Linked DNA regions of Ovis aries. The protein of the gene in region 2 purifies or fractionates together with the protein of the main gene of each other region. This does not show direct contact. Links are inferred from orthologs where the notes say so. Each region holds a gene or a part of one and is shown on either strand. Other genes may lie near its edges.

The links.
Region 1: the proteins of PRDM16 (region 2) and CTBP1 purify together in Homo sapiens (affinity purification with mass spectrometry; 3 studies listed by BioGRID and IntAct, with this or other methods). This does not show direct contact. The link is inferred for Ovis aries from reciprocal best matches to the Homo sapiens genes PRDM16 and CTBP1.

The regions. Positions count from the first base shown.
Region 1 is NC_056059.1:117,908,611-117,916,011, reverse strand, and holds part of CTBP1 (C-terminal-binding protein 1), read right to left. Parts: intron 6,058-7,401; coding exon 5,913-6,057; intron 4,633-5,912; coding exon 4,426-4,632; intron 2,942-4,425; coding exon 2,727-2,941; intron 1,831-2,726; coding exon 1,700-1,830; intron 1,153-1,699; coding exon 1,025-1,152; intron 485-1,024; coding exon 367-484; intron 144-366; coding exon 1-143. UniProt on the Homo sapiens protein: Corepressor targeting diverse transcription regulators such as GLIS2 or BCL6. Has dehydrogenase activity. Involved in controlling the equilibrium between tubular and stacked structures in the Golgi complex.
Region 2 is NC_056065.1:48,988,748-48,996,148, forward strand, and holds part of PRDM16 (histone-lysine N-methyltransferase PRDM16), read right to left. Parts: intron 7,192-7,401; coding exon 7,044-7,191; intron 6,590-7,043; coding exon 6,436-6,589; intron 2,562-6,435; coding exon 1,148-2,561; intron 1-1,147. UniProt on the Homo sapiens protein: Binds DNA and functions as a transcriptional regulator. Displays histone methyltransferase activity and monomethylates 'Lys-9' of histone H3 (H3K9me1) in vitro.

The DNA.
Region 1 (7,401 bases), on a different chromosome or scaffold from region 2:
CGGTTTGGCCGGGAGAAGGAGCGTGGGGAGGGTGGGAGACGGGGGGCAGGCCGTGGGACAGGGACATCGCGCTGGGGACGATGCCCTCCACGGCGGCCGGGATGCCGCTGGGAGCCACGCCCACCACGCCCGGGGGGTACCTGCTGGGGGAGGAGGCGGCGCATGAGCCCGGGGCCGCCCCGTCCCAAGGCCGCCTGCCGGGTGCCCCGTCCAGTGTCCAGTCCCGCCCCGCTCCGTGCAGCCGAGACCCAGGACGGCGCCCCATCCACCACCCCGAAGGCTGCCGCCTGCTCGGGCGCGCGTGCCCCAGCTGCCCAGGGCCTCGGGGGCCCGGTGAGCACACGGCCGGCCCAGAGCCCCGCTTACCTGTAGGCGGCCCCATTGAGCTCGGGGTGCACCACGGCGGGGTCCACGCTGGCCCAGTGGGTGGCGGCTGCCAGGTGGTCCTTGTTGACGCAGTTTTTCAGGCTGTCAGGGATCCGGCCTGAGAAGCGCGAGGGGGGCGGGGGCGGGGGGGGGGCAAAAGATGGGGCCTGCTCCGGAAGCCGCCAGGGCCCGGTGAGGCTCTGATCGGGAAGGGGCCACCCCCGCAGGCGCACAACCCTCAGGCAGAGCGGGCTGCGCCTGTCTGGGCAGGGTCCCCCTTGAAGCTCAGGGACCCCCAGCCTCAGGCGGGTGACCTCAGCTCACTGGTGCCTGCTCAGACCAGAGGTTTCAGAGCTGATGGGCCCGCCCAGGAAGCTCGCACACAGACTTCGTCAAAGGTTAGGAGAAAGACACACGAGCTGACACCCCCAGGACAGCGAAGGCGGGTCAGAGACACGAAGCCAAGAACCCCTGCGTTCAGGGTCTGCGGCGTGGAAACGTCAGGCCCTGCTGGGTCTTGTCTCCTTCCGCGCCCAACCTGTGCCGCGCCCAACCTGTGCCCCGCCCCCAAGGCCCCCACAGGAGCCTGGGCCCCCCACTCCCACGCCCCCCACCCCCTCACCCCGCCAGCAGACGGACGCAGCCCCGCCCCGCCTACCTGTGATGGCTCGCCGGATCTCCCTGGCCGCCTCCTCACGCATCTCGATGGAGGCCTGCTCGCTGTACCAGGCCGCATGCGGGGTGCAGATCAGGTTGGGCGCGTCCTTCAAGGGGCCCTGGCTAAAGCTGCAAAGAGGTCAGAGGCTAAAGGTCAGAGCCTGACCCTGGCCACAGCCCACCCCCACTTGTCAGATCTGCCCAGCCCCTCCCTGACCACAGCGGGGAGGGTCTCAACTGGGGACACGCCCAGCCCCCTGTAGGTGATTTGAGCTCTCAGACCTGGGGCCCCTGAACACCCCTGCAGGCTCCACGGGTGAGGACCGCCCCCCCCAGGCCCTGCTGCCCGACAGCCTCTCGGCCGGGGCATCTATACACAGCCACCTGGGGGCCAGCGGCCTTGGACACTTGGCAGGGGGCCCTGGTCTCAGCCCTCCCCCTCCCCCAAGTGCAGGACCTGGGGCTGTCCTGGCCCGCAGAGCTGAGCTCCCCTCCCGCCGAGACCTGGCTTGGCCCTGGAGGAAGGTCTACCCTAGGCCAAGCTCAGGCTGGCCAAAGACAGGGCCAGGAGGCCGCGTGTGGGCATGGCCCCACCCCAACCAGGCCAGCCCAGGCTAGCGCAGCGCAGGAGCCACGCGGGCCCCACGCTGGGGGCCCCAGGAGCGGCGGGAGGCACCTGAAGGGCTCTGACTCGTGCACGTCCAGGGCCGCGCCGCGGATCCGCCCCTCCTTCAGGGCCTGGGCCAGCGCCTTCTCGTCGACCAGGCCTCCCCGGGCCGTGTTCACCAGGAAGGCCCCTTGCCTCATCTGGGAAGGACAGACAGTGGGCCTGAAGACGCCCCCTCACTGGTGCTGTGGAGGAGGCTCCCCCTGCTCCGAGATGGGGCACTGCCTGTGACCCCGCTTTCACCGCAGGGCTCTTCCCTGGTAGGCTCCTGTCTGTCCAGGTCTCATTGGTTCTCACGGATGGCACGGCCTGACCAACCCCCCGACCCCTGGAGGCCAGCCCAGCCTGTGGGAACAGTGTCCGGCCTCCCCCTCCACAGGGCTGGGGGCGTGGGGCAGACAACAGTCACAGCTCCACGTGTGCGCACAAGAATGTGCCGGCACTCCCACGCGCACACGTGTGCACACGCAGAAACATATGTAACCACGCGTGCGTGTGTCCGCACGTGCGTGACAGTCGCTCGGTCGTGTCTGACTCTTTGCGACCCCATGGACTATAGAGTCCATGGAATTCTCCAGACCAGAACACTGGAGTGGGTAGCCTTTCCCTTCTCCAGGGGATCTTCCCAACCCAGGGACAAGGTCTCCCGCACTGCAGGCGGATTCTTTACCAGCTGAGCCACAAGGGAAGCCCAACCATGTGTGCGTGTGTGTGTACACGTGTGGACAGACACAAGCCTAGAAACATGGACACACACACATCTATACAACCCACGTGCACACACGTGGAGGGCCACTGCCATCCAAACTTGCCCACACCCAGGTGTGTGCACTGCACGCGCTCGCAACACAGAAGCCTGTGCGCACACAGTCACTCGAAAGGCCCGGGACCCAGGAGGGGCCCGGCTCGGCCCGCCCCCCGCCCCGCCCCGCCCCGCCCCCGGCTCGGCCCGCCCCCCGCCCCGCCGGGCCCCGCCCCGCCCCCGGCGGGCCCCGCCCCGCCCCGCCCCGCCCCCGGCGGGCCCGCGGGCGCAGACCTGCTTGACGGTGAAGTCGTTGATGAGGTGGTGGTTGTGCTCGTTGAGGCCGCAGTGCAGGGTCACGCAGTCGCTGTGGAAGAGCAGGTCCTGCAGCGTGCTGACCCGCTGCAGCCCCAGGGCTCGCTCTGTGCCGTCCGCCAGGTAGGGGTCGTAGAAGAGCACGTTGAAGCCGAAAGCCTTGGCCCGCAGTGCCACCGCCTGCCCCACACGCCCTAGGGGGAAACGGGCGTCACCCCATGCGCTTGACCCCAGAGGCCAGGCAGTGGGCGCGTGGGAGACGAGGTTTCAGGGAGAAGGGCTGGGGCCCTGGGAGCACAGGCACCCAGCAGTCCAGCGGACCTGCCACAGGCAGCGCCGAAGCGGCTGGAGCAGCCACGGGCTCTGCGGGCGGGCGATGCAGGCCAGGAGCCCCCGCTCGGCCACTGCACTGCGGCACCCGGCTCCTCAAACCCAGGGAAGCCTAAAGAGGGCTTCCGTTTTCACGGACAAATGTGGAGAGTGCAACTGTGTGTCCGGCAGCTGCCCCTGCACGGGTCTTGGGTCCCTGGGAGCTGCACGCAGCGCCTCAGTGTGGAGCCACCCCAGCTGCAACCCTGGGCTCTGCAAGCGGCACAGGCACCGAGATCCCCACTTCAGCTCATGCCACCGGGGCCACCGCTCTGCTTTCAGGCCAAGGGAACCGGCACACAGGCTCTGGGGGTCCCTAGAGGGGCGCGGGGAGGGCTGGAGCACCCAGCCAGGGCCGGGGTCCCCAGGGCCGGTCTGACGGCCTCCAAGGACAACCAGGAGCCGGTTAGGATGCGGCCTCCAGGGCCTGACCACCCAGCAATGTCTGCACCAGCACTGCCTAGATGGGATGTGGCCCCAAACCCACCCGCCAGGAACATAACCCTGCACCCCTTCCTCCTCCTCCACCACACCGAGAGGGCCCACCGGCCTCACTCTGGCTGGTTCCGGGCACAGGGGCCCCGTTGCTGAGTGTAGGGTGCTTGCACAGCTATGGGGCTCTGACCAGCCCAGTGTCTGTGTGAGCAGTCCAGCAGGACAGCAAGTCACATCAGGAGTGGGCTGTCCCCACGTCTTCAGACGCCCGTGGTCCTGACCTGAGCTAACGCAGGTGCGTCTCTGCCCTGCAGCTCCCCACGGCTGCACAGCGGGGGCCTCTGCTGTGGAGAACCCTGGGGATCACAGATGGGATGCCCCCAGGCAGGGCAGGCTGCTCCGCCTACACTCTCCCTCCCCCGCTTCCTCAGCCCCCGAGGCCCGACCCACTCGCCTTGCCCCAGCACGCCTCTGCTCCCTGGTCTGCTACCTGGGCCCAGGGCGCTGGCCAGCAGGGCACGAGAGCAAGCGAGGGGGGCAGCAAGCAGCCTCCCTCCACCCCGGACAGGACTCAGGGCGGGCCCCTCGCCCCCACCTCACAGCCCTGAGCATTCAGCAGGTTGAGCGGGCATGAGCATGGACGCCCACAGGCCACGCATGACCCCGGCCACAGAGCAGATGTGACCCCGCTCCTGAGGGCACTTAGCACCTGGGTGGGCGTGTGGCCCCGCCTGCTGCTCCTGGGGCAGCTAAGAGACCCAGCCACCCAGCGCTGCTCCGTGGCTGGACAGCCATCCCAGGCCGGGGACCTGCCAACAGCCCGGCCCGGCCGGCCTCTCCGTCCACAGGCGGCTGCAGGCAGAGGCCAGCGCACCTAGTCCGATGACGCCCAGGGTCTCGCCGCGGATCCTGGCGGCCCCGGAGGCCACCTCCCGGATCTGCTCGACGCTCTGGACGCGTGTGCCCTCCCGCAGCGCCTGGTGCAGCCACGCGGTCCTGCGGTACAGGTTGAGAATGTGGCACACGGTGGAGTCGGCGGTCTCCTCCACGGACGCGGCCGGCACGTTGCAGACGGCAATTCCTGGAGATGCAAGGCACGCGGGGCGGTCACTGGGATGGTCTCGGGTGTCACCTGGGACAGGCCCAGGGACACGTCCTGGCCTGAAGGCCGAAGATCAAGGCAGGTTACCTGCCCCTGCCCTGGACCCCCAGCCACTGGACCCTCCTGGAATGGGTCTCAGCCAGGCCACTCTTCCCCAAGCAGCAGCCTCCCCTGCTCCTCCCCCCGCTGCCCCTCAGCATAAGGGAGGACGAGGGCGGGGGCGGGGTGGTTGGGGGGGGGCACGTGGTGCACGGAAAACTGAGCAGGAGGAGCTGGAGTCCCCATCAGACTCGGAAAGAAGGCGGCGCCCAACAGAGACCAGGCCCTGCAGGACTTCAGACATCCCTGCAAGAAGGATGCAGCCCCAGCTGGTGAAATCGAAAGGCAGAGGACCACCTCCGTCAGCAGGCACGAGGCCCAGGGACACGCCAGCTCAGAAAGCACCCAGCCTGCCGGGCGGCAGTGGGGTGGATGCTGTGTGGGGACAGGAGAGGGCGGGGTAGGCGCCGGGGGGACGGGAGACGGGGCAGGGGGTGGGTGGATGCTGGGGGGACGGAAGATGGGGAGGTGGGCGTTCCGTGGAGATGGGAGATGGGGGGTGGGCACTGGGGGGACAGAGCTCAGCGGGCACAGGCAGGGTGGACCGAGACGCATGGCTGCTGCCGGTGCAAGCGACTCTTTCTGCAGTTCTGAGCTGTCAGGGACCAGGTGCCGTGGCTGAGTGAGTCCCAGCCTCCCGCAAGGCGGTGACCAACTCAAAGGGGACCGAGAGGCCGCGGCCGAGCAGCACTGCAGGCAGGAACTTCCCAACAGAGCCCGAGGAAGTCTGTTCGCAGGTGCGAGGCACACACGTGTGCTCGAGCGTGCGGGCACACGAGCACACGCACATCCCCATAGGCACACCAGCGTGTACGCACTCCCAGGTGTCCTGACTCACAGCAGAAACTTCCTTCCTGGCCCCTCTAGTGAACAGGGCTGTGAGAACCCCGGCCCAGGCCTGCTGGCCGCCCCTGGATGAGGCCCCTGCCTGGGTCCTGGGGGGGTTCCGCAGGAGGGTGGGTGCGCTGCCGGAGGCCCAGGCCTCCTGAGGGATGGTGCCGCCAGCCCACGCCTGCCCGAGGGGAGCTGGCGCGGGGCCCACATGCGGAGAGCCGCGTGGACCCTGGCCCCCAGGCCCCCTCCGCGCGGCGGACTGAAAGCAGCGAGGCCGTGCCCAGGGCGACAGGCAGGGCTGCGGGGTAGGGCCCCGAGCGGCCTACCTAGGTCCCCAGCCGACTTGATGTCAATGTTGTCGAAGCCGCTGCCGATGCGCACGATTATTCGCAGAGCCTTGAACTTCTCCAGGTCCTCCCTGGTCAGCGTGATGGTGTGGTACATCAGCGCGCCCACGGCCTCGTTCAGGACCTGCAGCGAGGGCAGCGTGCTGACTGGCGCTGCCCCGAGCAGCCTGCGCCCCCGTGGGCACAGCAGGCTGTCTGGGTGGGAGGCCGCCCGGTCCCCGCACGAGCACCTGCTGTGACCCGAGGGTGACGGCGACCCAGCAGACACGCCAAGGACACCTGCCGGGTCGACAGAGGACGGGGCTCGCCTGACTGACACAGGGAGGTGGGGAGGGGGCTGCCCTCTCCCTGGGCACTGGACGCCCCAACAGATGGAAAACAAGGGCACTGGGAGGACCTGAGACCCCCAGAACCAGCGATGGCGGGGGGGAGCCATGCCGCCATGCACGACCCGCTCCCAGAAGAGGAGCTGCCGCGGGGCAGGGCACACGGCACCCTTTCACACCGGGAGGGGCAGACGTGGTCACCCCTCACCGTCACTGAGCGGGCCGCTCCCCCAGGAAGGGTTGGGGAGCGGCTGCAGCCTGAGGCCTCTGTCCTGGGCACCACGGACCTTGGGGGTGGCCTCCCCTGGCCCCGCACTGGAGGGGCGTCGAGTGCGGGCACAGGTTTTATGTGCGCTCAGCCAAGAGGCTGGCCTGGCCAGTGCAGACCCTGCGGGGGGCCTGCCAGCTCGGCCTCTACCCCGCGGAGCGTGGCTGGGACATCACCCTCCCCACGGGGGCTCAGGATGCCTGCGGGGACAGGGTGTGCATGTCTCAGCAGGGCTGCCCCAGGTGAGGCCCACATCAGCAGATAGCTGCCAGGGTCTCCCAAGAGCATGGCGCACAGTCCTCCCCACCCGAGGGGTCTGCTCGCGCTGCGCCCCAGCAAAGCCCCTACCTGCATGCGTGCACAGCCCCACCCACCCCACCGCTGGCTGAACCCAACGTGCTGCCAGCACCGGCCACCAGCGGGACGTGCCTGGCTGGGGGTGAGGGGCCACAGCCCAGGGCCAGGAAGGAGGGTCCGCTCCAGATGTGCTCTGAACAGCCAGGGACCTACCAGGTCTCTCTCTGGACCCGAGGGCGGGGCCCCAGAACTGGGCCACCTGGACCCAATGCATCACAGACTCCAGGACCTGCTGCAGCTGGGGACCCGGTTCATCCCTCCCTAACGGGCTGGTACAATCCACATCTCAGAGGCCACAGGGAGCCCATGGAAGCCCGGCCACAGCTGGGGACCCAGTTTATCCCCTGCTAATGGGCCGGTACAATTCGCGATGTCTCAGAGGCCATGGGGTGCCCACGGGACCTGTCGGCCACCCTCTCCTCTCTGGACGGAGCACCCCGTGCTGACCCGGGGTCCCTGGGAGGGTGGAGGCTGCTGGACTCCCAGGGCCGCAAGGGGCCGAGGCAGCGGCCGGCCT
Region 2 (7,401 bases):
TTTCTCAAACCATCTGTGGATGGTGTGTTTTTAAAGAAACACCCAAGGGACCATTTTTCAGGTTTCCTGTGATGACAACGCCAAGACCTGGCAGGAAATGGAACCAGCTACAGACACAGGCCAGCCAGGGCCCTGGGTGAGCGCAGAGCGGGGGGACCTGGGTGGGTGAGGAGGGCAGAGCAGGAGGCTGGTCCATGCTCCCTCCTTCCTGTTGCTGGCAACCCTGCCATCATTCCTCCCGCTGCACCTTTGCAGGGGTGACCTCACTTACACACCCATCCCCAGGCCCTGCCTGGTCCCTGTGCTTCCCATGAGCCCTCAGAGTGGCCACATGCTCTCTGCATTCCCATGTAGACACACTCACCTGTGTGCACGGGCCCCTCCCACACAGAACCATGGGCCTGTAATAGTGGCTGAAGCACCACACCTGCCTGCCCCTCCAGGCCCCTCCAGGCCCGCCCATGGGCACAGCTCCCTCCTGAGGGCTCAGCCTTCCCAGCACCCTGGGACACGTGCAATGGGGGCCAAAACCCCCTGATCAAAGCCTGCTCAGAAACTGGGGAGGGGGAATCAGTTGGCCCCTCACCAGAAGGTCTATCAGAGGGCTGGAACGCTGATGTTTTGCAAACCTTCCAGAGCTTTCACCTCTCTCCCTCCACCTCCTCCCTCTGGGGATAAGTGGCTCCTCTGATCGCCCCTAGGCCAACAGGAACCCCAGCTGTGGCTCTGGAGAGGGGCGGGGCCCGTGTAGGGGCCACAGGGCAGTCGCAGGGAAGCAGAGATGCTGGAGCAGACCTAACAGCCAGGAGTGTCCTGGGAGGCAGAGTCGGTCCAGACAGGGAGGCGGGAGACACCAGCAGGCGGGCCTCTGGGGTGGAGTCTGAGGGCAGGCTGGGGGCAGGGTTCAAGGGAGGGCAGTGCGTTTCCCAGTGGCATCTGAGAAAGGGAGCCAAGTGTGCCCAGAAGACCCTGCCAGGCGCCCACCCTAGGAAAGGGCCGAGCCGGGCCTGGACTTCAAAGCAGCACAGACCCCTCCCTGCCCAGAGCCAAAGCACCTCCTGAAGCTGCAAAGACAGGGGGACAAAGCTTGGGGGAGCAGGGGAGGTGGTCCCCAGGGAGAGCACGTGAGGGCGGAGCGTGTGAATACCTGTAGATGGGGTCCATGAAGAAGGGCGATGGCTTGGCGTAGTGCAGGGGTGGCTGCTGGGGCAGCTGGGCCGGGCATGCCTTGGGCAGCCCCTCGCTGGGCCCCAGCCTGCGCTCGCCGTACACGTGGTTCTTGCGGGGCTCCCGGGTCCCTCCGTTCTGGCTGGCCCGTGCACGGCTGCCAATGCTCAGGTCCAGTGGCTGCTCCTCACCAGACACTGGGGCTGGGGGCACCTTGGGCGCCGGCAGGATGGGCTTGGCCTCTTTGGGTTTGGTGGTGAGGTCAAAGGGGGACTCGGCACTGGGGCCGCCAGCCTTGAGGGCGTCCCGGGGCGACTTTGGCTCGGCCTTGACCAGCAGGTTGTGGGTGAGGGCACGGTCCGTGAAGGGGTACAGGGAGTGAGGGAGGTGGGGCAGGAACTGGAAGGGGAACACGGAGTGGTAGGGCAGCGCGCCCAGCTTCTTCTCCGGTACGCCCATGAAGCCGGGCCCGAAGTACTTCTCAGCGATGGACGCGATGGCCTTGATGGAGTCGCCTGCCGCGCCTGACGCTGTCAGCAGCTGCTCCTGGGGCGGCGGGAAGAAGTGCTGGGAGTAGAAGACGGGAACCTCGCCCACACTGTTGGGGGCGCCTGGGGGCACCGTGCTGCCCCCGAACTCTGGCTTGCCCTCGGCCGCCTTGCCCTTGTCCTTGGTCTTGTCACGGTCACTATCCACATCGCTGTCTAGGTCGGAGCCTGTTCCCGTGGTCGTGTCCAGGTCGGTCCCAGTCGTGGTGTTGATGTCCTCGAAGTCGCTGCCGTCTGACAGGTCGCTGCCCCGGGGCTTGAGCTTGGTGGCATACGCCTCCTCCAGGTGGCCCTCCAGCTTCTCCTCGGGCCCCGCGGCCGCTGTGGTGCTCTGGCTACTGTTGCTGACAGCGGAGACAAGGGGCAGGGCCGGGTTCCCCAGGGGGCTAGGGAGCTTGGCGTCCTGCGTGTGGTTCAGGGGGCTCTTGAGCAGCGGCGTAGGAGGTAGCAGAGGCGGCCGGGGGTACAGGGATGGAGGGAAGATACCCGGGAAGCCGGGCGTGAGCGTGGGGAAGCTGGGGGGTGCCGCGGAGAAGGGCAGGCTCCCGGGGTGCGGCCTGGAGGGGAAGTACTCGCCGAAGCCCAGGCCGGCATGGTTGAGACCGGGGGGTGGCTTGGCCTTGTCCATCAAGGGGCTGGGGGTCAGGGGCAGGCCGGGTGCGAAGATGCCTCCCGGCGGGTAATGGTTCTTGCCCTCGCAGAAGCGCCGGTGCTTGTTGAGGGACGAGGTAGTGCTGAACATCTGCCCGCAGTCCTTGCACTTGATCTGCGTGCGGCAGTCCGCGTGCATGCGCTTGTGGCGGCACAGGTTGGAGAACTGCGTGTACGACTTGTGGCAGACCTCACCTGGGGCGGCAGGGCAGAGACAGCGGCGTGAGCGGAGGCGGCGGGGGCCCGCACTGCCCGGGGCTGGGGCACCGGGGGTCCGGCCGGGTGCCTGGAGTGGCGTGCGCCTGGATGTGTGTGTGTGTGTGTGTGAGTGCGTGTGTGCACATGTGTGTGCATGCGTGCATCACTGGGTATGAGCGCCTGCATGTGCGCTCAGGAGTGTGCATGCATGTAGATATGCACACAGGTCTATGGGCACGTGCGCTTATGTACATGAGCGTGTCATGCATGAGTGTGTATGTTCACAAACACGTTGCACTCTAACTGTGTCATCACATGTACTTGCACACATCTACGCACACGCACCCTTCCCTGGGATTGGTCTCTGGTGACCAAAATGGATTGGTGACGATGTCCCTGTGCCTCCCCTGGGGTCCCTGGGTGGCCTGGGTAGATCTCTACCCACTTCAGCCTTCTCCACTGGAGAATGGGCCCTGCTGCTCTGTGTTCTCCTGATCCCATGAGTTTGTCAGGTGGGACTGAGGTCTTCAAAGTTGCTCCCAGAGACGGGCAAAGACACGGCATACCCTCATGTAGGCAGCTGCACCTGCCCATCCAGACTCCCCACCAGGTCTCCCTACCATGCCAGCCACACTGTTCCAGCAGAAGCGAGTAAAACAACACCCCCTGGGCTAGGCCGCCCACTTCTAAGGTTTAAAATGCTCTCAGCTTCCCCCCTCGTTCTGCCTCCAGCCCTGCCTCCCAGGACAGGGAGGCCTCAGGAGCGACCAGCCCCTTGGGGTTCTTAATCCCCAGGCCTGGAAGCAGAGCTTCTGGCTGTGAGATCAGAGTCTGGGGGTGGCTAGAAGGTGGAGGTGGGAGGGGAGCCCCCGAGGGGGCTGGTTCCACATCTGAGAAAAGTGAGACCTCCCCAGACTGGGATGGAAAGGCTGCTCCAGCTCTGTGGGTAACAGGAGAGGGTGGCGGTGAGAGCCGAACGGCAGGCCCTGCAGGCCCTGGCGACCCAGTCTCACCATTTTCCCAATGGTGAGCTGAGTGTCGGCCAACCTCCAGTTTTTCTTTCTCTTCTTGTTTTCCTAACCAGCAACAGAGGAACACACACACACACACACACACACACACACACACACACACACACACACACACTGTCTGTCTCTCTCTCTCTGCAGGACGATTTGCTTTCTAAATGCAGCCCCCGTGGAAACAATGATTTCAACGTGTTTCTCGCTCTCCTCACACTCTCGTGGCCTGATGTCATGCGAATCTCGCTGGGAGCGCTGGCCCCGAGCTGATCGTGCTCTTTAATCACAATATCTATTTATATTAACGGCTCTGCCTTCCTGGCTGTCTGGCTTGGCGGGACGTTTTCAAGGCTGAGGGGGAAGAGCACTGCCTCGTTTAATCAAATCTGCCCTTTTTGGGAGGAGGCTGGTGCAGAGGGGCCGCTGCTCCTCGGGAAGGTCTATAAATACCCTCAGGCCGCCTGCCGACCCTCGAGGGAAGAGAGGCCACTCCCTGGCTCAGGGCTCCTGGCCAGACGAGTGACACCTTGCTACGTTCCCGGCCCTTGCAGAGGCTCAGTGACGCCCTCCGTCCCCCACAGTGGGGCTCCGTGGTACCTCATCAGTGGCTTCTGCCATCCTGAGCTTGGAAATGGCACCCTCCCAGGGCAACTCCCGGTGTGTGTGGTGGGGGTGGCTCGGGGACCAGTGGCCATGCCTGGGTGAAGGGAGCCTGGGACCTTTGCTTCCCATCCACCCAGTTACACGAGAAAAGGGTCCTGATGAAATGCTGGGGCTACAGAGAGGCCTCTGGGAGACTGAGGTCCCTGGCGAGGTGGGTCCTGGTCCTGTGATGGCTGGCAGATCTGGCGAAGGGAGCTGGCTTCCTGCAGGGGCTGGGAAAGGCCCAAGCAGCCCACCATGAGCTGGACATGGGACCAGTGCCTGGTGGAGCGTACCCGTGCCCTGCGGGACGCAGAGGGACCCTGGCCAGTGCTTGTGCTGGCCAGCAGTTTCTTTTCCTGTAGAGGATGTGCACACACACACACAAACTCACTCTCAAGAAGTGCATTTCCCTGACTGAGGGAGTGGGTGACCCAGGTGAGATGGGGGCTCAGTCACCTCTAGCAAGATAGCTGGAAGCCTAGGTTCAGGGCAGTGGGCAGGAGGTGAGCACAGCCCCAGCTACTCAACAAAGGCCTGACCAGCCAGAAAGTATGGCCTCTTTGGGGGAGCAGTCCAGTCCTGTGAGACCCCCACATTGGTGAAACCACTGAGACCCAAGTCCTCAAGTTCCCAGAGTTAGCTCCTCCCACCCCCAACATTGATGTGCTGGGACCCGAGAGGTACCAGGCCACCCAGCCTGGGGTCAGCAGCCAGGCCCCTGGAGCTGCAGCGGGGCCTCAAAGGCCTGGTCACTTCACACTGCCAAGACTGTTTCCTTCCCTGTCACTTCCCTTTGGTTGGGCACAGTGTGGTCCCTGGTCCGTCAGGTTTTGTAAGGGTGCTGTGAACTCATGTGTGTAAAATGATGGCTCAGCACAACCTCATGTGGAGAATGACTCAGCGCAATCTTATGTGAATGACCCTTAGTGTGGTGCTGATGTGGAGGATGAGTCGGGACGAGCTGGTGTGATGCTGACTCAGCAGAATACTGGTGCGAACTATGAGTCAGGACAACACTGGTGAGTTAAGCTGGCTGATGAGTCAGCTCTGTGTTGGTGTGAACAGTGACTCAGCACAATCTTATGTGAATGACTCCCAGTGCAATGCTGGTGTGAACAATGAATTAGGTCAAGGTCCTGTGAATGCTGACTCAGCAGGATGCTGGTGTGAACCATGAGCCAGGACAATGCTGGTGAGTTACGCTGGCTGATGAGTCAGCTTTGTGTTGGTGTGAACAGTGACTCAGCACAATCTCAAGTGAGATGACTTGGTGCAGTGCTAGACAGAAGAACCTTCAATATCTCCTAAACTCTGAGAAGTAGGGTCATGCTCCTGCATTGGCCCACTAGATTCCCAGGACCTAACCCTGTGACCTCTGACTCCTCTCCTATTACTTCCCTCCCCAGACACACCACAAGCTCAAGGCTTCTGTGCTCACAGTGCCCTGTCATGAGCCTTCTTGGCAGGCACCCCGTCGTTCTCACCCCACCCCCTGCCCACCTCCTCGAGCTCTCTGCCAGAACTTGGGTCACTCATAGACCATCCCACCTCCCAGCATATGGGCCAGATGACACCTACTTGGGCACCTGGAGAGCCTCCTGACCCTCCAGCCCTCCTCCCACCCTGGTGATGGTTTAGCTTCCATCTCCTCCACTGGCAGGTCAACGGCATGTGGACAGGGGTCCAGTTATTCATGGCTGGCCCCTGCCACCCAGGTTAGCACAGGCATGCAGCCTGGGGTCCCCAAAGGCTGCAGGTGAGTGGGAAGCACTGATATTATCACACCTGCTGGAGCTCTGGGCAGCCCGTGTGGGGTGGGGAAGGGGAGGCACGGAGGGAAAAGGTAAGTTGCAGGTCCTTCTCTGCAGGACCACAGGGATCTTCACTACCCACTGCCCACCTGTAGCCACTGGACGAGTGAGCCACAGGGAGGACCCAAGGGGCGCAAGAGGGGAAAGTGAGGCCAGAGCAAAATGGATCCCAGAGTAAAAGCGTGCGAGGGAGCAGGGTAATGATAAAGTGGCGCCAGGAGGCAGCCACCCCTGGGCAGAGGGATTGGCAGCTGCCGCAAGTATTTTCTGGACAGATGGGGTCCCACAAGCAGGGAAGAGCCTGAGGACTTCGCCCCCTGGCTGACCCCCAAGCACGCCCACCCTGGGCACGCTGGGAGGGAGCTGGGCGGGGCCGGGCGGGCCCTCACTCACATATGAAAGGTTTGACGGTGCTGTGGATGTGCTTGTGCTGCTTGAGGCCCGAGGAGGTGGCGAAGGTCTTCCCGCAGTCTGGGCAGGCGTGGGCCCGGGCGCCCACGTGCTGAGAGCGGATGTGTCGCTGCAGGTTGCTGGGGTCCGTGAACACCTGGGGACACAGACTCCGGCGCGTCACATTCTGTCGGTCGCTCCCTGTGGACCCCGGGTCAGGTCACGGGATGGGGGTCTCTCTGGGGGCTCTGCCCACCGCCCTGAGCCTGGCCAGACCAGTCTCTGCTGGGGCAGTGACATGCTAGATGGCCTTAGGTGGGCTGTCAGGCCTCTCTGGACTCTGGTTCTTCAATAATAATTCTCGAGAGAACTGTGGCCCTGAGGGTGCTCCAGACAGGAGCTCAGAAGCTTTAAGCTCCAGGTCTTTGACCCAGGAGTCTGTCCTGCCATGTAGGTGGGAACCCGAGAGGACCTGGTCTGGCCGCCCTCTCCTTCCCCATTGCGCAGCGCTGCACACTTCCTGTCTTCCTCTCGAATGACTGGGGGCCCGTGGTCCCCACGCGTGCTCTGTGTCTTGGCTCGGGTGGGGCCGGCGGGGTGAGCCCGGTTACCTTCACGCAGTTTTCACATTCGAAGCGCTTGCCGCTGTCGTGGGACATCTGGTGGCGGATAAGGTTGGACTTCCAGTTGAAGGCCTTGGGACACTGGTCACACTTGTACTCTCGCTCCTCCGTGTGGACGACCATGTGCTGCTCCAAGCTGCACATGGGAGACCAGGATCAGCAGGGGCCCGGAGGGTAGGGCCTCCTCCCCGCCCCTCAGAGCCCCTGCCACCTCCTGTTCCCAGAGCGGAGAGAGGCCTGGCAGCCAGTCTGTCTGCCTCCTGCCTGGACAGGGCACTGCGTGCACCAGCAGACACGGCCTTCCCACGTTGGATGGCAGGGGGAAGCCAGGGCATGGATGGAGTTC